Caenorhabditis elegans: one gene and its partners. The protein of the gene in region 2 interacts with the protein of the main gene of each other region in a pairwise test. Each region holds a gene or a part of one and is shown on either strand. Other genes may lie near its edges.

The links. Proteins that work in one complex are often made in the same cells at the same time.
Region 1: the proteins of ceh-14 (region 2) and B0507.3 interact in a two-hybrid assay, tested with the Caenorhabditis elegans proteins (one large-scale study listed by BioGRID).
Region 3: the proteins of ceh-14 (region 2) and ztf-30 interact in a two-hybrid assay, tested with the Caenorhabditis elegans proteins (one large-scale study listed by BioGRID).

The regions. Positions count from the first base shown.
Region 1 is NC_003283.11:8,766,207-8,772,748, reverse strand, and holds B0507.3 (Mediator of RNA polymerase II transcription subunit 15), read right to left. Parts: upstream 3,841-6,542; 5' UTR 3,831-3,840; coding exon 3,749-3,830; intron 3,703-3,748; coding exon 3,581-3,702; intron 3,147-3,580; coding exon 2,241-3,146; intron 2,196-2,240; coding exon 2,007-2,195; 3' UTR 1,876-2,006; downstream 1-1,875. Other genes in the region: srx-115 (7TM GPCR serpentine receptor class x (Srx) domain-containing protein), read right to left, coding at 1-70, 119-270, 809-850.
Region 2 is NC_003284.9:7,526,229-7,535,751, reverse strand, and holds ceh-14 (LIM/homeobox protein ceh-14), read left to right. Parts: upstream 1-3,019; coding exon 3,020-3,125; intron 3,126-3,890; exon of another isoform or gene 3,891-4,039; intron 4,040-4,268; coding exon 4,269-4,359; intron 4,360-4,416; coding exon 4,417-4,521; intron 4,522-5,586; coding exon 5,587-5,703; intron 5,704-5,747; coding exon 5,748-5,836; intron 5,837-5,895; coding exon 5,896-5,978; intron 5,979-6,529; coding exon 6,530-6,613; intron 6,614-6,663; coding exon 6,664-6,799; intron 6,800-6,847; coding exon 6,848-6,925; intron 6,926-6,969; coding exon 6,970-7,136; 3' UTR 7,137-7,983; downstream 7,984-9,523. Other genes in the region: F46C8.3 (US6), read right to left, coding at 8,499-8,558, 8,800-8,904, 8,955-9,036. UniProt on the Caenorhabditis elegans protein: Probable transcription factor, modulating expression of helix-loop-helix protein mbr-1 and homeobox protein ceh-63, perhaps acting in concert with ceh-63. Binds to a motif including the sequence 5'-CTAAT-3' in regulatory promoter elements.
Region 3 is NC_003281.10:8,593,435-8,600,362, forward strand, and holds ztf-30 (Zinc finger transcription factor family protein 30), read right to left. Parts: upstream 4,437-6,928; 5' UTR 4,410-4,436; coding exon 4,265-4,409; intron 4,187-4,264; coding exon 4,067-4,186; intron 3,271-4,066; coding exon 3,055-3,270; intron 3,007-3,054; coding exon 2,845-3,006; intron 2,799-2,844; coding exon 2,356-2,798; intron 2,310-2,355; coding exon 2,202-2,309; 3' UTR 1,876-2,201; downstream 1-1,875.

The DNA of each region.
Region 1 (6,542 bases), on a different chromosome or scaffold from region 2:
TAAATATGGGGCCCATCCAACTATTTGGCCGAAGAATACGTTAAATTGTTGTGGGAGATAATAATCATTTCTAAATTGTGAAAGTTTGTTCGAAAGTACATATATTGCGAACACTCACAGGTAAGCACAGGGAGCAGCCCATATGAGGAATGCCGTAGCGATGTGCACATTTGCAACAGATTTATTCACACATATCTTATTGAATCCTTCTCTTTCGCGAAACATTCTGGAAATCACCATTCCATTGAGAGTTATGTCTCCAAGGCTTAACTGAAAAGTTATTCATAAAAATAAGTTTTTAAGTAATCTTATCTATTGAGAACAGAGGTGGGCGAATATTTTTTCGGATATTTTCTAATAATGAATTTATCAATAAGTATTGATGCAGTTATTCTGGAAGAAATGTATCCGAACCAAAGAGTAACTATTAAGCAACATTTTAATATGATAAAACCTAGAAAAATTCTACAAGTTTTCCTTACCGAGACCTTAAAACTTATTAGCCGAGCAACATCGGATATCGGATATTACGGATATTACGGATATCGGATAATGGACTTGCATATCGTTTATACAGAAAACTTGTAGAATTTTTCTAGGTTTTATCATATTAAAATGTTGCTTAATAGTTACTCTTTTGTTCGGATACATTTCTTCCAGAATAATTGCATCAATACTTATTGATAAATTCATTATTAGAAAATATCCGAAAAAATATCCGCCCACCTCTGATTGAGAACTTCTTGGAGAAATTTTAATTCGTGTGTCATAATAGATAAAGAACGTTTTCTCGTTTTGCAATACTTACCAGCACCATAATCGTTGCTGCAATATACCGGAATTCTATCATGATCGACTATAGCCTGCCACTGAAAATTATAGAAATGAGAAATAATGATCTGAAAAATGCATATTTCGGTCTAACGTTGGTTCTCACAATTATCTTTTTCAATGAAATTTATTATTTTTTAGGAAGTTATGCGAGACGGCTGAAATTTTTCACAGAAAGATCAGTTCATTCTGCTGATACATGAAAATCGAATTCTCTGTGAAGGTGGGAGGTATAAAAGTATAGCAAAAAAAAAGTTGTACCTAGTTGGTCTTCAAGCATCGCCGAACTCAATGTTATTTATCTAAAATATTTTGGAATTTATCTGTGCTTTGAGTAGCTAAATGGGAGAGTCAAACTAATATTGACCTAGATACGTGAAAATTTAAATTATGAATTGAGCTTTTTGAAGTTCGTTTTTTTTCAGAAAAAAGATGTACGTGTCAATAGAGATATTGAAAGGTTTCGAGAACTTTTACTTGATTTTCTCTTGCTTTTCTGTTGAACAGTTTGAAACATAGTTAAAAGAAAACCGGAAACTATCGAATTCAACCTTCTACTACTTCTGGAAAAGTGGCTCTAGGGCCACCAGAAATACGATTTTATGGAAAAGTGGCTCTAGGGCCACCAGAAATACGATTTTATAGAAAAATAACATAAAATCTTGAGCGTTAGACAACGTTAGTTGAATTGTCAAACTGCAGTGACAATTAAATTCCATTCATTACGCTTTATTGAATACGTGGAAAAACAATACAAAATAACAAATCATTGTTTTGAGAAAATTAGGATTTTTTGGAAAATTGGGCGTTAGGGTTTTTCTGGAAATAAAGCAGTAATCAGTTTCATTTCACGACAAAACACAACATGTTTACAGAAAACTTGACAGAAGTAATCAAAATTCACCACTAATTCACCATTGTGTTTAACTTCATTTAACCTTTAACCCTTTTTGCTTAATTGGCAGTCCACGCAGGGCAAAAAAAAAGAGAAGACGGGCAGACAGTTTCACTAAAATAATATCTCCTGGAAAAATTATTATTAACTATCACAGATAACTTTATCTCACAGTCTTTTACAGCAATATCAACAATAATAAAAACGAGATCACAATTTTGGAAAAAATGATGTTTGATTAGAAAATAAAATATACATCCTCAGAATTAAAGGCTAGTTATCATTGACATCTGCATGGCATCTGACCGCAACGACATACAAGTCTCAGGGGTAAAGCCATTGAAACTACGGACCATTGATTGCAAGCACGAGTCATTGGAACTAGAAATTGTTTGGTAGGATCCATTTGAGGTCCATTGAGTGGAACTTGAAGTGAGAGTTGGGGAGGATGCTGAGGAGGCGGTGTAACCTTAAAAATTATAGTTATTTTCTATATTGTAGAAGTTGATCTTACTTTCTCCACGGGTGGGGATACCGTTGTTTTCTGTGAGACAGAACTTGTTTTGGCAGGGAGCTCCACTTGTGGTACGAGCACTGGTGGGGCTGGAATCGGAGTAGATGGCTTCGATGATTTTTGAACCATTGCAGGATTTGGTGACATCATTGCTGGTGTAGGGATGACTGATGGAGTACCTGCTAGTACTTGTGGAGTACTCATCAGATGGAAAAATGGATTAGGTTGTTGGCGGATAACACCTTTCTCCTTCAATAAGACAAATGGATGACGTAAGTAATCATGAAGTACTTCATCAGTGACACTTCCGTTGTGAGCGGATGATATGTAGGAAAGAAGTTTCCTCTGTTTGTCTTGTAAATCATTCATCATTACTTCCGCTGATTGTGCAAACTGTTTCGATGGAATTGTATTTGGAACATGTGGAATACGGGGCTGTGCAGTTACACTTGGAGCAGCTTTTTCTTTTTGTTCCTTTTCTGTTTTTTTCGTGGATTCTTTTTGCTGTGGAGTCGATGCAAGTGCAGCGACCGGTTTATTTGATGCGTCTAAAGACGGAGTAGGAGCTGGAGACTTTTTTATCGGTTGCTCTTGTGATTGAATTTCCATTGGTACTGGAGCAAGTGAAGCCGGTGCAACTTTTAAAGGCCCCGTAACCAGAGTTGGAGGTGGAGGAATAACTGGAACTTGAAATGAAGAAGGTGCTATTGAAGTTGGATGACTGTGAGCTTGATTTAAAGTTATCAGCTTTGACATGTTCAGAAGCATTTGCTGATCTTCTTGAATGCATCGTTTTATTTGTTGGTGGTCCAATGGTTTATGTTCAGTTGGACATGGTGATCCTGTTGATGTCTTTTCAGAAACTACTGGTTTGCTTATGAGTGACTCGATTCGTTGATGGTATTGCTGAAAATATCTCAATAAAGTCATCTCCAAGAAAAAATCTAAAATATTGTATCCAGCAGTTAGTTTTTTGAATATTTTATCGAGATTACAAGTTTCGGCAGTTAACTACGTTATACTGTATTCAGTACTTTTTCAACATGTTTCCAAATCTTGGCACTACGCCAGAAACTGATAAGAAAACCGCTGACACTGCAATGTTGCATATGCAACGTGGCTCTTTCGAAACATTGTGCAGAGCATGATATCTGTGTGTGCTTTGATCATATTCATAATCACTGAAAATCGATCATAATCAAACAGTTTCACGGACACTTTTTGTGAATTCCGTGAAATTCTAGCAAGGTGTCACTCCGTGCGAAAGAATATTTTAATGCAAGAAATTGTTTGATAATGTCATATCATGTGATAAGAAATAAAATATTTCCGGAACTTACTTTCAATCGCTGAAGTCTAGAGATCATTTCATCAAGGAACGAAATGCGTTGCGAAGGTTCCGTGCAATTCAACGCGTTTAATAGATTTAGAAAAAGGACATCCATAAAACTGGCAGGTGGCTCTGAAATTAGAAATTCAATTTTCGAAAATCAACTCAAACAACAAACCTAGAGTTGGTGGAGCTGAAATTTTCATAGCGGGCACATCCACGCTGGCGGAAAGTAGCCTTTTGCGAGTGGCTAAATCCATTTTTGAACCACTGAAATTAAAAATGTTGAAATTTAAGAATGTGAAAAATTGCGCACAAAATATGAAAGAAAAAATAAGTATGACTAGATTCAAAATGAGGTGGAACCGGAAAACCTTATGATTGTGTCCATAAAATGCTGGTATATACAAAAATTTAAGGCAGTCTCTGGGTATGATTGACTGATTTGGAAACTGATAAGACTATATCAGTTGTTGTAGACCGTTGTCAACTGATTGTAGATAGCCTCAGGGCTCTAAAAATCTTGACTAGTGATAAGAAAAATTGGCGTTGCTGTCAACATCAAAATCATGTTCTTATCACAGCGAAACTCTGGTGCAGAGTGTAAATGGAACAGAATCGAACCGAGCAACACAATGTGACAGAAACTGTGTTTGTTTGCAGTAAAAAGTGAAAATTTTCAAACTGGAGAGTTACCTCTTATTTCTGCGCCATGGTGTAAATTTAAATAATATATCATAAATTGAAAACATGAGACATAATTTAAAAGTCTTAAAATAAAAAAGTTTTTCCTCCAGACATATAAGTGAGGGATTTCAAGCTGTTCAAAATATTTCCTTTTACTTTGTTGAAGATGAAACAAAAAAAAATCATTTTTCGTGCAGAAATTATTTAAATTTTACAGATTTTTTCGAAAAGCCAGTACACAACGGTTTAAAACGAAATACCATGTTGTTATCAAGTTAACCTTTCAGTTCTCAAACGATGACATTAATATTCTTTCCGCGTCAAAAGTTTTCTGGGTGATTAAAAAAGAGACAGAAAAAAGTGAACATGCTCAGCGATAAGCTGATTGAAATTTTGTTGAGGTTACGATATTGTCTTGTGTCTTGTGAAAAGTTTGCTAAAAACTTTTGTATCCTGATGTATGAAAAAAGTGAGAAAAATTTTAAGTTAGTCAACAATTTCAACTTCATTCATAGGCACAACTGAGAATTTAATTAACTTGTATTCCACAATTGCTGGATGTGTGAGCATTCAAACATTTTTGATTTGAAAATAATGCGATTGAAATAAAAAAGAATTGAACGAATTAACATATGAAATTATTCCGCACGCGATATGTATTCATAAATTCTAGAATTTTTATTGTTCTGTTCAAATCATTTCCACTTTCAAAATGTATTGAATCTGTCGTTGATACTCTATTCTCTTATCACCAAAAACTTGTTCATCTTTATGACTATCACTTGACTCTTCAGGTAAACATTGAATGTATTGAATACTTTGAATGCTCTTATCAAATTGTTTTCATCATCCTGAACCAAAATAATTCCTTACCGACGCCACCTACCTGATTGTTCCACAAATTATTATAAAACAAAGAGAAAGTTTTTCAAGAGGAGCACTAAAAAGTCAAACTCGTTCTATAAAAAAAGTAAGAAAAAATAATTTAAATTGTGTTGTTTGTGTAGGTTTGGTTAGTGTATGTGTGTGAAGCTGTAGGTTTGGTTAGTGTATGTGTGCAATTGAGATGAACCGACGACGATCGGCCGATAAAAAATGTATGAGGTCGGGCCAGGGGAATTGATACATAAAATATGAGCTAGTGCGCATTTAGAATGAATCGAATTTCATTCAGCTCTTGTTTTTTTGTGAGCTGCTCAAAAATTATTAGCAGTAGGTGAGATGATGTTGGTACTTCTGTTTGGGCCGTTAATATATAATGGAATCGTCCATTTGTTGTGATGAATGTTGTCGGATTGGGAAACAATATTAAAATAGCGTGGAATAAATACACTGAATTTCCAGGAACTAATACTCCAATATTTGTAGGAGGAATACAGATCGACGATTGATTAATTTTGATTGAATTTGGTAGAATAACACTTTACAAATAAATATTACTATTATGGTGCATATTATATATTTGGATAAAATCTGAAAATTACAGAAACGTTCAGCCGGCGTCATTGATATGTCAACGTTCCAGTGGCAAAAACATACAACATTCATTGCGATTAATCACTTGAATTGAATTATCCAGAAATGACTGTCTGTAACCGATCCGTGAAAGTCATTCAACTGTTTTTTTGCAAATGTAGCGTCCTTGTCATGCCAACGTATAATGTGCAATATTCTTTAGATTTGTTTTCCGTTTAAATTGACTCAATTTATTCAGCAAAGCACTTTAAAACAATAAGTTGTAACCTCTGTTCATGATTACGATCTAAAAAACTCCATTAAAACGTTTTCTGAATTCTCCCAAAATACCATCATGGTTTCACTGGGTTCAACGATAACTTATCGAATGCAAAACCTAGCGGTGCACAGCTTTCAACAGTTTTCGGCAACCGGCAATCTCCTTACTTGATTTCCAATAATTTCTAAATCAACCAATAAAGAAATGGTAGAAAAAGAGTTTGAAATATTTTGCTAATTGACAGTTTTTCTAACAAACAAAAACTAAGATACGTGTTGTCAAAGCTAACAAATAAGTTGTAATACTATTCGAGGAAATACAGCATATAGATTTTAATAATTTGTGGCAAAAATTTCACATTAAAAAAAATGTCTCTCACAATCAAACTATTCAGAGTTTTTCAGTAATTAATTTCAAGTAAAGTCTTCAAAGGTTTGAGCAATTGCCAAAACTTTCAGAAACCAACAGTTACCTGAATTGCCGAGTGTCCAAAATGCTGGATTTCATCACTCCCCAGCCATTCCCTCCCTTTGTTTCAAACAACACCAAC
Region 2 (9,523 bases):
TGTACGTGAGAAAATAACTTTCTGAAGTATCTACTCAACGTGTTATTTTCCAAAAAAATTGCATTAAGTTAAAGCTGATTAATATTTAGTTTTTTTTAATTTGGTTTACATGTTTACAAAAGTCAAGAGCCAAAAAATCCAAATTGTAAAGAAAGTCTTTTCTGCAAAACTGTATACATCAATGTCTGAGATGCAGATATAAAATAGTATAAACAAAAATGGAGTAACGTCAGTAAGTGATATTATTGAAGCTGGAAAACTGAGGTAACTTTACTTTTCGAGAAATCTTAGGCACTTCCGAACGCCTGAAATGTTGGAATATAAATATTTTAAACATCATTAGAACAAAAGTTTGAAAGAAAGCTTTTTGATCGATCATTTTCAAAAAAAGTCGGAAAGTGAGTTTCCCCCGTTTTTTGATTAGAAATAAAATATACTTACATTTTTTGAAAAGTGTTATCATGATATGCAGTCATTTTGGCGCAAAGGAAATCTTTAATCATTTCCTCCACATTTTTACATTTTTAAGTAAAAATTAAAATTGGGAATTTTTAAATCATTTGATGAAAACTGTATCGCAAAATATTTTTTGACTTTTTACACTAAGAAATTTTTATATTTGTAACTGTTAAACTGTTCATGCTAGCTGATGCCGATTGAAAACAAACTGATTCAACACATTGGGTGCCGGGCACGGTCAATCGGTTTACAAAATATTTTACAATGCGGAAATCAAATGCTCACATCTTTATGCTAAATGGTTCAGTCATGAACCATGAAGAAAAAGAATGAATCAGAAAAAACTTAAGTTTTACAACAAGACCAACAGTTTTCCCTCACTTTCCTGTCTCCTCACGAATTGATTCTCCTTCCGGCTGCCCAGTCACTCTCCATAACTTAATTGATACATTTTAGCACCAATTTTATGACGAGCAGAATTTGTTGCGAACATGTTGTCAGCTGCCCTTCTAAAATACATCCATGCCTCCCCTCCCCTCAACCATTACCGATCATTGTCCGTATACGCGCACCATATTGGCGCGTTGATGGACGAAGGCAGAGAGCAGCAGCACGACGACGTCATTATATCAAGACTGGTGGCAGCTTTTCGGGACGAGAGCCGAGACCCAGCTATTACCTAATTTTGAAGCGCTTCTATCCTGGCCTGCAAGCCGGATAATGGATGTGCTCTCGCACGTTGTCTTGTCTGCTTTTGAGAGCAGCATTGGTTTATATTACTTTTAATTAACTATTTCGTAAACTTCTGATCTTTTGTTAAGCAGACAAATTATCAATGTTTTCTTAGGTTGGCTTAAAGCTTGGGATAGGCACCATACATTTCCAAAAAAGAAGTACTAAAGCAGTCTGCAGATCGTGAACCTATAATAATTTAGTCTAGACAAATACAAGCAATATACTATCACATATTATTGTAATGATAGAAGTAGTGAAAAAGAAACTCACACAGAAATTGCTATAAAAATGATCAACCGGAACATTACCAACTTACATTGTTTCATGTTTATTTTTGTTATTTATTAAGTAAAATAATTTATAAGAACTTTTTCTAGTAGTCTTGTACCACAATTGTTGAACATTGAAAGCTCAAAGTTGTTGCTTTGTCGGAACATTTTCAGTCGGAACAAGTGCCAAATATGTGTGCTTTTGATATTCCAATAGTTTAACAAATTTGAATAGAATCCAAAACTCAAGATATGAGTTGCCACATAAGAGCAGTAAAGATTTAAGCTTAATAGAAACAATACTAATACGGTAATACGTATATTTGACGATAATTTTTGAATAGACATTTTGAAGCTATTTTTGTATTTTTAAAACTTCCATGAAATTCAATCATCGGGTTACTTTACTAAATAGTTTATATTTTACTTATTCATAGTTTCGACTGTTTTGTATTTTAAGATCAATGTTTACTACTGTTAGGCTCCTCAAGTTGAATTTCTGTTAATTCTATTGTTTCCAAGATGATATTTCATTCTGAAACTCTACTCCTGAAAATTCAACAATTGTTTTCATTTAAAATGAGCAACTGTAATTTTCTATTCATTAAAGTATTTTTTTTACCATTTAAAAGGAACCCATTCATGAAAAGTTCAATAGTTTCTAATAATGCAATAATCCACAAAAACATGTTCATGCCGCAATTTAATTTTTTCTTGACCTAACTGATCATTTCATTTTCTCATTTCATTTCAAAAAGCACGCAATATTAATGAAACTAGGACACCCTCTCTTAATTGCTTTTGACATCAATTAAGTTGAAATGTTTCTTTCTTTTTTCAAATTTTGCACTTTTTCAATCATTTTGAAAGTAGAATATAAACAAAGTTTTTTGGAAAGATGCTATTGCTCCGAAAATCACGAGGAACGAGCGGATTTGAGAGGATTTCTGAATTTATCGATGATAAAAACAATCTTCTTATTTTCGCGGCCGTTTCTGTAAAACATTTGCTTAGATGTGATAAGTCATTTGAGCAACATTCAATTAGTGAACTTTAGGTTTGAATCCATTGTTTCGGGAGATGTATCGTATCCCAGAGCTAAGAAATGCACAAGAGAGCATGGCTTCTTACCCGCTCATTGGCGTGAGACAAGAAATGGGCGGGACTTTATTTTCGGGACATTCATGGCTCGTGGAGCATAACATACACGTAGTCTCAAGAACCGACTAACGACATTTTTTCTTAACTTTCCATACGAGTTTGATCATGAGTCTGAAACATTTGACTAGGCTTTTTATAAAAGTTCATTAGCTATTCAAGCTAGCGTGCGGTTTTTTTTTCATGAATACTTTTTTTTTCTGAAATTAGACTTTTAGCTAATCAAATTTTTTCTTTCTTTTTCTTTTTTGTTTTCATATAATAAACAAAAATAAAGAGAAAATAAATTACATTATATCTTTGGTTTCGCTTAAATATTCACCTCAACTAAATCGTCAGAATCGTCTATCCCGAATTCGACTCGCTATGTTTATTTTCAGAGGCCTTTTTCAACAAACATGCTGGGACACAACATTTTGACTCTTGGCGAGTGCGATGAGCTGGACAATCATATCGTGATGTGCAGCACCGGGCTTCTTTCTCCGCAGGAAGACTTTAGTAATGGTAGGTTTGGAAACATATTCTTCGGATATACTCGATTAAAATAAATAGGTATTTTTTGTATCTGTACCCCGAAATGTTTTCAATTTTTCCAAAAATTAAAAATGTTTTCTTTTTGTATTTTAGACGCAGGAGCAATCATGGTTATTTACGTGTTGACATCATAGAATTTTATACACTGAAAACATATTGGGTAACAGCTAATAAACAAGTACCATATATTGCTCGTATTTATCAAAATGCATAGTGTGAAGAATTGATTTTTTCAGAGAATGCCAGCTGTTGAGCTGCAAATTTGTTTTTTTAATCACAAACCCCTTAAAACCGGGACAAGGGACTTTTTAGTAAACATCTAGAAAATTAGTTCAACACCATTTCGTGAAAACATTTCATACTTCAGAATCATAAGCAAAAACGTATTCCCCATATTCTTAAGTCATACGACAAAAAGAAAAGAAAAAAGTCCATCCTTGTCATTTCGCTTCCTGTCCTTTTGAACATTACCGACAACTACACCATTTTTCTCTCATACTTCATATTACAATAACAGTAGCCAACGGCAGTGGCCTTTGTCGCTTATCACTTTCTTCTCCTCGCGTTTTTTTAGTTGACCATCCTTTTGCCTATTGTGACTCAATATTACACACTGGAAACGTTTTTCGAAACCTATCACACCTTTTCGCGCGTTCTCGGATACCTCGTTTCGGGCCTCGTGTTCGTATTTTCTGTGTCTCTGAGCAACAAAAATAGCATAATATTTTTGCTAATACTGGACCATCATTCTTCTGGAAATTTGATATTTTAATGGTTGGTCACACCTCCGCGCATCATCCGTACCTTTAGCAGTTTATGGGGAGGACGCACACCTGCAAGCTTCTGGCGATGAGCATTGAATTACCGTTAGGTTCGTTATATCCCTCCTCCTGTTTTCTCTCTTGTTCCTCCAACCTGTTTAGCCACAAATTAAGTAAAAACAGTAGGAGTCAACAATATTATGACAGAATATATAAGGTTTAGTGTGTAGCAAGGGAAAATGGACAAGACAAGGAGAATGTCAAGCATAAAGCATGTGTCAAGAATATGTGTCAAGAATGGGTATCTAGCCGACACGCCGCTATATGAAACAAGTTGAATTATTTATTACAGTTAATGCAGGCCATCCGAATAACGAAGAAGCCATTTGTTCGCTTTGTGACAAGAAAATAAGAGATCGGTTCGTTTCAAAGGTCAACGGAAGGTGGGTTCACTGTTCTTCTCTAGTATTTTTTTCTCGACAAAGTTTCATTCTTTTCAGATGTTATCATTCATCATGCCTCCGATGTTCTACGTGTAAAGACGAGCTTGGTGCGACATGTTTCCTGCGCGAAGATTCTATGTATTGCCGGGCACACTTTTACAAGTAAGATGGTAGTTTTAGCTTTTTTTGGTATCACAGAAATGCGTAGTGCGGCTTTTTAGCTTTCTTACTCACATATTTTGAAATAGAACGGAGAAGTGTATGATAACAAAACATTGTCTTTGAAAGCTTATGTTTTTTTTTTTTTTAATATTTGGTGCGAAAACATTTTCAACCAGAAGAATAGAATTTAAATTCAACTTGGAAACTAGGGGATAGCTTTTTGGTAAATCTTAGAATAAAAAATTAGAGAACGATTTCAAACATTCAATGATAATAATAAAAATTTAAAAGGTTTTTTTGAGTAAACGTTCAATTTTCTTTTATAATATAATATCACAGCTCTCTGACTTCAGATTAAAATTTTTCTTTAAAAATAGATGACTACAAAAAATATGGTTGCAGAGTATCACTCTAATAAAAAAAAAGTTAATCTGAAAATTATTCAGTGCGTTACCGTAAACTTGCTCCAATAAGGTTGATAATTTTATTTATTACGGTCTTAAATTTCTTAAAAATAGGAAAGCATTCCGTGAAAAAAAAACTTTTGAATTTTTCCGGAAAGTTCTCAAAACGTTTTTGATCGAGTTTAATGAAAAAGTTTCAGATTCAGTAGTATTCAAAATATTTTTATAATACTCAACCTTGAAATCATCAGAAGTCATATCAGAAGTCATAGAAGAATTGTTTTTAAGAGTGAACAAAAACATCGAAAAACTTTCAAATAACATGGGTTTTCTTTTTTGGAAATCTATATGTGAACCGAAATATTTACTTGTCATTTATGTCATTTATAAAAAACAAAAGAAAATTAGAATACATCTGTCAAAATAGTTATAGTTGTAGAATTTATTATTCGATTGAATAAAATCTTAATACATATAATTTTGTACATTGAAGCAAATGAGTTTGTTCATGAAATTACTCGTACTAATAGTTTTCGTTTCTACCAAACCCACCCATAACGTTATTTTTTCAAGTGCAATGTTTCAATTTTTGCATTGTAAGTTTTGATAGCTGAACTGCATTCGTCTTCTTTTTTTTCATTTACAAAACTCATAACTTCAGAAAATTCGGTACCAAATGCTCCTCCTGCAATGAAGGCATCGTCCCGGACCATGTTGTTCGAAAAGCATCGAATCATGTCTACCATGTTGAATGTTTTCAGTGTTTTATTTGCAAACGGTAAACTTTAAACTTATTGCTCTGAAACTTGCATATTTTTTCAGATCTCTTGAAACCGGAGAAGAGTTTTATTTGATTGCCGACGATGCGCGACTCGTGTGTAAAGACGATTATGAGCAGGCTAGAGATAAACGTAAGTGATCAGTCCTCCATAAAGAGCTACTCGATTTTTCTCAATAGTCTCGCTTCCAGACTGCAATGAACTAGAAGGCGATGGTAGTAACAAGAGACCACGGACTACGATTTCCGCCAAGAGTCTAGAAACCTTGAAGCAGGTGAGCTCTTTCCACTGTTTTTATCATTGATGAGGTGAAGTCATAAAATAAAGCAAATCATTTTTGTAAAGCAAGACAGCGCCGTAGATTGACAAGAGCCACATAAAACCGCAACACTCTGGCGCCATTTGTAATAGAATTGAGTGCAATCCGCTTGTCAGATTCTTTAGTGAGTGAGCATTTCACAACAGAAACAATTTACTGTAATATTAGTGTTACCAATTATAAATTCGTATTCCTTAAAACATTACAATATAAAATATAATATTACTATACAATCGAAACATCCGGAATTGTCTGTTTAGCAATTTCAGGTGCGATCCATACTTTTATTATAAGTGTTGCAAGTGATAATTAAGATAACTTGTTTTAAACAAAAGTTCTCAACAATTTGAGCAGAGTTATTAGACCATTACGTGTACAAAGCCAATAGAACTTACTAGACTACTTTTTAATTCGTCGTTCTGAGTGCACGACTAATAGGAAATCTGCTCTACACTTCAATATAACTATAGATGTATTATTTCAAATGTTTAGATTTATTATTTCAGGCATACCAAACTAGCAGTAAACCAGCTCGACATGTCAGAGAACAACTCGCTTCAGAAACTGGACTTGACATGAGAGTTGTTCAGGTAGCACTTGCCTTATCAAGCGGCTTCGCTAATGTTTTATTTTTTATCAGGTTTGGTTTCAAAATCGTCGAGCCAAAGAGAAACGGTTGAAGAAGGACGCTGGTCGCCGGTGGAAGTCCTCAAATCGTGCAGAAAGCGACAGCAACTCTCCTATCGAGAGTATCAACGGGCAGAGCCCTAATTACTGTGAGAAATTTGAAGCTTATCGCTAAGCTTTTCATTCTTGTTTTGCAGTATACCTGGATCACCCAATGGACGATGGGAACGAGAGCAATTACCTTTTTCACTCCAGAGAGCAGACACCTGATAAATGTAAGGGAATATGAATATAAACTGAAAAAGTTTAACATTTTCAGACTACCGAAACGAAACCCCATCTACCGATCCACCTCCAATGCACATGACAACTCCGAGTGTTCTAACAACCAACTTCTCAACCCCATTATCTTTATCGACTAATGTTTACAACCTTCCTCCTCCTGAATCTCAGTTAATCCCACACATGACTCCACAGTACATTTGAACTGGAGAAAAACAAAAACTCTAGTTTTCGATTACATTTTAATTTGATACTTGATACAACGTTCCGGTTTGGAGTAACGAATGGTATAATATGTAGAATATAGAAATGGTTTTTGAATTAATGTAGCCACAATTGTGAGGAATATCTTACAAAATCTTTATTAGTGGTCTTGAATCTTTGATGATGTTTTGATATTTGAGCAGAAACTGTTTCCTGGAATCATATAACTTTACAAGTACTCTACCTCACAAAATAGACGACCCCCTACTCACCAAACAGCCATGAGACATGCTTGAAACATTTTCTCTCTTGCCAAAAACCTTATCTATTCCCTGTTTTCGTATATCTCTTTATTTCTCTTTTCGTTTCATCACAGCTGTTTGCCCATGCACCGCAGTTTTCAACATTTCACCACTTTCTGAATAAATAGGTCCCTTGCCCGTTTTGCTTCTTCCAATACCCCCTCGCTCGCTCGTTTCATACATCTCATAGTCAATATTCGTGTGAGGCCCCCACTCCTCTCCTTCTAAACACTTGTTACGTATCCCTCGACACCTTGACCATTCATTCTTCATCAATGGTGGATGTGTAACACTTATTTCGAAATGTATGATTGATGGTGTTCTTCATACTTTTCTCTCACCCCACGCCACCCCCCCCCCCCCCCCCTTCCCTCCCATCAGTGTTTAATATCCGATCATCGAATTGCCAAATCATTTTGCCATATACCTTTTAATAAATCATGACAGGAATTGTATAAATTTGCCACCAATGAATGCACATCTCGAACCAATAAAACCCATCAATCAATTTGATATGGAATTATGAAAATTTAAAATAAAATCTCTCTCTCTCTCTCTCTCTCTCTCTCTCTCTCTCTCTTTTAAATCGTGTATGTATAATGATCACATGCAGTTAATTTTCGTTCAACAATCGAAAAATTGGGCGATACCCATTTTTCCAAAAATCCCGAAATACGGCACACGATCTTAAAATTTACGTGTCAAAGGAGCTGAATATTATAGTATTTTTAAAATTTCTGAGTATTGGTAATAGACACTGTTTTCTGGGAAATGTGGTTCAAAACCATTGGTTAAAACAATGTGAAAGTCATAAACCTGGTACATTTCACTGAATGAATAATCTTAAAAATTAAAAATTAATTTAAGGTTTAATGTTTCAAAACGTACATCAACGTTTATTCAATAAAAATCAATACAAAAACAAATTTTGGCATCATCAGGATTGAGGGTTTCAGTTTATATATATTACTAAAAAAAACGGTAAAACAAAATGACAGAACATAAAAATGAGAGTTTTTCGAACAATTTTCAAACTTGATCACTTGAAAATTTGAGCAAATCATGACGAATCAACATATGGAAGATCACCGACCACTAACTTGACTGGATCTAGTGACCTCTGGAATTAAACATTTCTATTGACAACTGATACAAGAAATCATTCAAAACAAAAATCGAATGAAACAAAAAATGGGGATAATATCAAAAAGCTGGAATGGTTCTCTCGGCCGGGGAAGAAGAGTTAGAAGGGTCAAAGACTTATCACAAGGCAACGGAGGGGTAGTACAAAAGACGAAGCTGACAAAAATTGACTGACGAGGGAGAATGCTTCAGAAATAGTTCTCCGAGTCAATTATTACCTTTGGTACACTGGCGGTTGTAGCTCCCCGATGTGACATATCGTTGCTCAATGACGTTTTCTTCTCATTTTCCGGTGACATCTCCGTTGACTCATTCGTGTATGGCTGATAAATTAAGTTGGTCAAGATAGTCATTAAGAGAAACGAAATCGTACCTTGTAATTGACAGAACCGTTTCCTTTGAACTCCGGACTGCTGTTCCTGCATTCCAGTTGTTTCTTCTCTTCAATGGATGGACTGGAAAATATTGGTTATTTTTAACTTAGTTTGGTTAGATGAACACAGTTACGGCAAAAAAACTATAGCGGCCGACATCTCATGTGCTCACTTTTGACAGTGAACGCTAATTTGATCCATGATGTCATTCATTCAGAATTTTATATGTAAATACATATAAAACAATATTTTTTCCTAACTTTGAAAGACACTGGTCGTTTGTTGAATTAATTTTATGATTATATTTCAAGTGAAAGAATCTCTCACATTTCAAGTCAAAGAAATAGTAAATAAATAAATAAAATTGAATAAAATAAAAAATGATTCCGAAATTTAAAAAATCAAATTCATAGCAAATATTTTAACGTCCCACGGGACAAGTTGCTTTCTCTCAAATATCATTCCGTTACCTTAGTCGTTTTTAGTTTAAAAAATGTGGAATATTCCTATTAAAACTAAGATACAAAACAATTACTGAATCATGAAATTGTGAATTTGATATAACAAA
Region 3 (6,928 bases), on a different chromosome or scaffold from region 2:
GACCTATAGGACTATAGTCAAAATCTAATTTTTTTAAAGAATTCGAATGACACGCGGCTGGTTCTGAAGTCCAATATACGTTAAATAGTTTTCTTCATTAATTTTTACTGTTGAACATTTTTCATTCTATTCAAGAAAATATGTGCAAGTCTGAAACGTAAAATATGTTTAAAAAAACCCAACCTGCAACACTGGCAAATGCGACGATACATTCCTAATTGATTTACGTTTAGCTAACAAATCACATAACAAAAAATGTGGAACTTTCTCAAAAAGAGAAGAAAATGAAATCTATTTAATGGTTAAGGGAAAAAATTTCACGTCGCAACTCATTTTATCGATTTTGAAAATTTTGAAACTTTGAAACGGTGTTGAAACTAGCCACGCTATATTGTGCATTTTGAGCAAAAACAAATACATATTTGCGGAATGTAGTATAAAACCCAGAGATATGTAGTTATCAGTGCATACCGGCTACAGAAAAACTTTTAAAAAATGCTGCAGTGGTCAGTTTACATTCGGATTTGTTTGTGTACGATTAGAACCTAAATGCTATTGAAAAATGGAATTGGCATATGGTATATTGAAATCGAAGAAATCGAACAAGAATAAAAGAATACAATGGACAGTAATACTGTAGGGACATCAATTGTAAATAAAATAAAATAATGATTGTCTATGTTTGTTCATCTGTTCCATTGAGCAAATTTTCAATGAATCTAAATTTTACTCTGGTTTTAGAAATTGTATGGCTCAAAATATGTATTTTGTGTGTGTTCCGGAGTACAGCTTATCACTTTATCGAAAAACGTATGTTTTGATAAGGAAAGGGCGTTTCAATAAATTTGAAGAAAAAAGGGCGTTGCAACAAGTGACATGAATAAAACAAACATATTCGTAGAGTCGTATCAATAATCAGCATCATTTCGATCTTACGTACGTGGAGTAACAAGGAACTGGAATTTTTTGCATGCCGGAGGAATAGGAAGATAAAAATGAAAGACTAGAAACATAGTCTGCTTGTCTGGTATTCCAAAGATCCCCTACCGTACCTAACTGTACTAAACTTACAGCACGGTTACCAAATCCATACAGTCCCGTAATACCACAGTATCTCAAATTATTATGTTTTTTTTAACTTTTAAACAGAATATGTATTGTATTTTGTATGTATTTTGAAAACTTGTTCAGACAAGTTCATCAAACATGTTAATAGCAATTTGAATTGATTTCATAACTCTGACAGCGTCGTCTGAAAATGTTTCTCAATACTATTTAATTTTTCTACCCCCATACTCTATTGTTTTAATTTTCCTAGATAAATTAACAATGCTCCAAATTCGTCAAGTTTTTTTTTCCTGAAATGGTCAAATTTTGACAGCAATGACAATGTTCAATGTGAGCACCTATCAGCACATCAACGAAACAACCCACAAAATAATGACAAAATTGCTATGAAAAATAATAATTTGATGAAAACTGACTTTGCGAAATTTGAGAATTTAGCTGAAACAGAGTTTAACATTAAAAAAAACAGAGCTCAGGATATTGGTAGAGGCTCATGACTAAATTTGGTATTTTTGGGTCGCTTTAAGTGAAAATGGACATCGATTTTTTGTTGGAATTAAAGAGCTAAGAAATGAGCTTTCTCAGATTTCAGTTACCATGGATATTTGGCAGAGGATTTATTTAGTTATTTGTTTATTCTGGATAAGAAATCCGTTTACGTCTTTTGTAAATGTATTTTTCAAAAAAAATTTTTTTTGAAAGAGTACCAAAAATTCTGGAACACACATTATTCAACTTTCTATACTGTTTTTTTACTTTCTTGACTTTCTCTGATCAGTTTCAGTTATTTCCTGGAAGAAACGTAGAATACAGCATTTAAATTTATATCAAGTATGTATTATTATTATATTACAATTATGTATATTCAACGTAAGCACTGAGAATTATGGAGATGGAGACACAGAAGGAACACAACGGATCGGATGATTTTGATTTGTTTGTTTAATATTTGTTTTGGAAATAAAAAGCAAAAAATCCCGCAAACAGGAAGAAATAAGTTAAAAAATATAGTTCTGAGATTGGTAAAAAATATTGCGAAAATTATGAGAAATCTCCAAAAATGAAACAATATTAACATGATAGTAAAGCTTGCGAAGTTTGAGGTTTCAGAGAAATTTGGAAAAAAGATAATTCTAAAAAGGACGTGTCAAAATTGTGTTATTTATGAGAATTCGAAGAAATGAATTCATTTCCGAGGCGTCGTGAGCTTTGTCATTTTGAAGAAATTTCACGGCAAGATTCTGAAAAAATAATTTTGAAATACTTCTTTCTGATCTGAAATCTTACCTGACACTCTAACAATTTCCTTTGGAATAGCTCATTGTGCTCACGGAGCGCGTGTGCTTCCATTCTCAATCTGAGCACAGTTTGTTCCAATCCATTCATTTGGGCATTTGCTTCTAAACTTTCTTGTTGCATCGTACCAATTTTGTGTTCCAACAGTTTGCATTTATTTTCAGAAATCAATATCTTTGTCCTGCTGACGTGGCAGTCGAAGCATTCATGACGTGGACTGATCCTTGAAGAAGAAGATGATGAGGATGGTGAAGCTGTATCAATCAATGGAGATGATATAAGAGCACGATCAGAACACAACTGATGGAATGCACTAAGATCAGACTTGAAGCTGACTGATGAGCAAGTTGGTGACTGTGAAGTATACACATCGGGCTTCTCCACTTCATCTTTTATTTTTTCTTTTGAATCTGCTACAAATATTGGTGCCGTAGCTGAAATATTATCATAAGCATTACAAATATTTTGTATGTAACTTACTAGGTATGGGTTTTGGAAGATTTGCAAGCCATGAAGGTGTCTGAGGTTGAGATCGAATAGGCGATTGAAGAGCAGGGATTGGGATGCTTGCAATTGGAAGAGAAGGTACTGATGATTCAAGGGATTGTGGGGTTGGTAGATTTAGAAGTGGAGTACGGATTACTGAAATCAATAATCTTTTTATGTTCATCTCATATCTGATAGTCTTACACTGGAATGGATCTGTAATGAGGTGGCAGCTTCTGTTGATAACTCCATGAGGAATGACACTATTATTATTGTTGTTGCTGTCATTGTTGTTAGTGGCAGTTTGTAGATGAATATGAAGAAGTGATTTATCAGGAAAAGCCCAATTACAGCAACGGCACATGTACATTCGAGAGATATGATGTTGCTTGAACATATGAGTACGAAGAGATTCACTACCTGCAAATTACAATAGTTTTTTATTATTATTCAAAGTCCCCAATTCAAATACAGTACTCCTATAAAGTTTGTCTACTTATCCCAAAGCCATTATTTGACCCCTTACAATTTCGCTCCAATCCTCCACTTTTTTCCCTTCTGCCCCCACTCTCATCCATTGCGCAACCTCATTCAATTGTCCCCGTTCTCGAAAAGTGAGAACTGTGTTTGCGTCTGCGTCTCCACTATTTCGTATTTCTCCGGATGACCTCAATCGTCCGGAGAATGAAGAAACAGTGAAAATTGAATGAGATCAAGAGGAATCTTTCTCCGGAGAGTGGATGGATAGTAAACAATAATTGTTCATACAGATGCTTATACCCGAACAACAATAAAAACGAGTTTCTTGCGGTGTTTCATGTGATAAACAATTCAGGTGTAAACAATATGCTTGTTCAAATATTATAGGTGGATGCTTTAAAATATAGCAGTGGTTTTGCACTGCACAATTTTGCTCTGCAAAATGTTCTACAGTATCCCTGCTAAACCCGGGAAATGAGGAGATCAAATCAAAAGATGTACTGGAGCTTAATACATTTTTGTAGCAAAAGCTCTCTGAGTCCCTGATCGAACAAGTTTTCATTCTATTTCATATTTTTGTCTCCAGCAGCTTTTCAGCTCAAATGTGCAGCTCATTCTTGTATCAAATGTCATGATTATCTTTCTTTCAATTTCGAAAAATCTGTGATTGAGGATTTTTCTTAATGCTCGGAAGATCACCTCATTGTCAATAAAAAATAAATAACTTCCGACTTACTTGAGATATCTTTTCGGCATACTGTGCATTTGTAGCTTTTGAAGTGAGCCTGCATACGGTGGCGGGAGAGACTTGAAGAATGACAGAAAACTTTTGAACAGATTGAGCAACGGAACGAACCTGAAATTCAGAATCATTATAAAAGTAAGAACCTAATCAGATTTGGTGGACTAATAACAATTCCCAGAACTTACAAACCTTTTAAATCGGGTCGTTTTAACTCAACACCACTTCCACCTTTGGATCCACTGATATCAGTTCCATTCTCAACCTCCACGTCACTACCGTAACCTTCCTCCTCTGTATTTGTGGGTGAATGAATTTTATCGTCTTCCAGCTTCATATCCATTTCAAGATGCATGATTTTGAGCTGAATCATGAAACATGAAGACACATGAAACAATACAAAGGCAGATAAAATGAGGAAGTAAAAAATCTGAAAATCGAATGAAAGAAAAGATGTGTGAGCTCATAGCATTTTGAGCACATAGGCACTTTTCAATGTGTGCAGGCAAAAGGCCATTATGATGACGGAGGAGGAAGAAGAAAGATGCAAAAAGTAATAAAAAAAGCTTAACTACAGGCATCCAGATCAATGACGCTGACGGTAAGAATGATCCATTCTCTTTTTAGTGTATGTCATGTAATCCCAAATCCAGATCATTTTACAAGAATGACTTGAATTTCTAAAATAGAATGTGCTGCAAGGATACGGTAGATTAACTCAGATAACGAATGAATCATTGCATTCAATGTTTTGGAGCAGCAGGAGCACGGGAATTTTATGAGAACGTGTGTGTGAGAAGCTTCAAATTTTAAAAGTAAATCGGAGGAGCTTGAAATCAGCAATCGTAGTATTATCTTTCAACATTATTGCCTGGTTTCGCGTACCTAATATATTTACAGAATTTTTGGGGCAACAGTTTCCAAGAATAACTTGTTTGGAGGCTTTTCCAAACTGTGACTCTTTGCTCCATTATTTAGAAGACGTTTTTTAATTTTGAACTCTTTCGTAGAAAAAAGAAGAACTTAGTGTGAACGTTGAGTAGCCAATAAATGGCAATTTGTCAGTATTCACTTATTTTAGGAGACTCTAAAAAGACAATCTCTGGAGTTTTTAGAAAACTCTAAAAAATGCTGGTCATGTTGGACTATTATTAGTGTATTCAAGTTTTGACATAGTCTCTTGTTTTGAAATTTATGAAATGGTTAAAACAGCTAGATTTAAAAATTTCATCAGCCATTGTTTGATCATCTGGGCAAATCTTAAAGCATAATCTTCTAATCTTTTTTGAGAGACCTGTTTTTAAAATCCAAAGAAAATCCTTCGAAGAAAGTTTATGGTTTGTACTTCAAAATCGTCGGACAAGTTGTTTCTAAGAAAGTGAAGCAAAAAAGGTTTAATGATGGATTTTGCATAAGAAAACTAAGTAGGTTTAAAGTTTAATCGCGGGGGAGTGTTTGCAAAAAAGGCACATCTTTAGGGACTTTTTTCTAGATTTAACAAATGAAAAAGCCGTGCAAATTTCAGTTTACTTGGTTCCCATATCCCAAAAAGAGACCATAAACATTAGATTAAAACTAGGCACTTGTAATAAGCCTAATGACGTGGCACCGAAATGTTGCAACCCGTGACTATGAACTATACAAGGTCAAACTGTCAATACACCTATCCTTTCCGCTAATTATCCATCGTCACCAAGACGGCTAAGACGGAAAAAAGATGAAGACGGACGGCAATGGATTGAAGGGAATAAGACGAAAGTGTCAATACGCAAAGACTAGGTCAAACCGGAGAAGATGAGAAAGTATAGAAGAATAAGAGATACAGACTAGAGGAATGACGTAAGGTTTCCAGGAGAAGCTAGGTGAGATGAAGTGGAAGTAAAGAATTTGGAAAAAAAATGTGCTAGAATTGGGGAGAAAATCTCAATAAATTGTAAGCATGTGAAGGCAGTGGGGAATGGGTTCTGAATTATTTCGAACACATAAGCTCCGGCAGTTGGGTTGCTACTTGTTAAAATACATCCTTAAAATTAGCAGAAGGAAACATTTCCATTTCAGAGTGATAGAAGTTCACAAACTACTAATTTGGAACTTTCCTTTTTCTGGAAAAAAGTTGACACCTCTGAAATGACACCATATTCACTAGTGTTCCTGAAAAGTTTTCCGTATTAGTTTTCATTAACAGCAAAAAAAAGTTGGCCCGAATGAAAAAAAATAGGCGGATACTCGGATGGTATATCCTGCCCATCGACAAGATGATCCTTGCTTCAATTGGTTTTAAGCCGCTTCCCAGATTTGATGAGCGAATTTGGCGATGAGCCGTGACGACGCGTACAGCCTCATTTGTGCAGGATCGAAAAAGCATCAGTTTTCGAGATAAGGCAAGACATGTGGAAAAAATGTTTTCTGACGCAATTGAGTTAAAAAGGGCGGGGCTATGGCTATGTGTACCGAAGTGTTGAGTACGTCAAATTTTTTGAAGTAAGTTCCTTTAGAATTTTAGATAAAGTTGAAGTTTGGTGGGAAGATCTGATAATAGTTTCTTTTTATACCACAATGTAATCAATATAAAAACATACATCGTTTTCCTATTTTACCTGGTTCAGTAGTCTGGAAGTTCCATGCCGCCATATTAAAGCTTAATAATTATAACTACTAATTTCGATATTAACTAGCAATGCCACAAATGGTAGTTTCATTTGAAATAGGAAAAAATAGAAAATTTTCAACTGGGTCATCTTTTTCCCAATTTTTTTAAAAACCAAAAATTGTCTTTTTTAAATTAAAAACCAGTTAAAATGGTTCAGCTGAAAATTCGCTCGCAAATTTTCGGCTTCAATTAGTTTATTTTTTCTC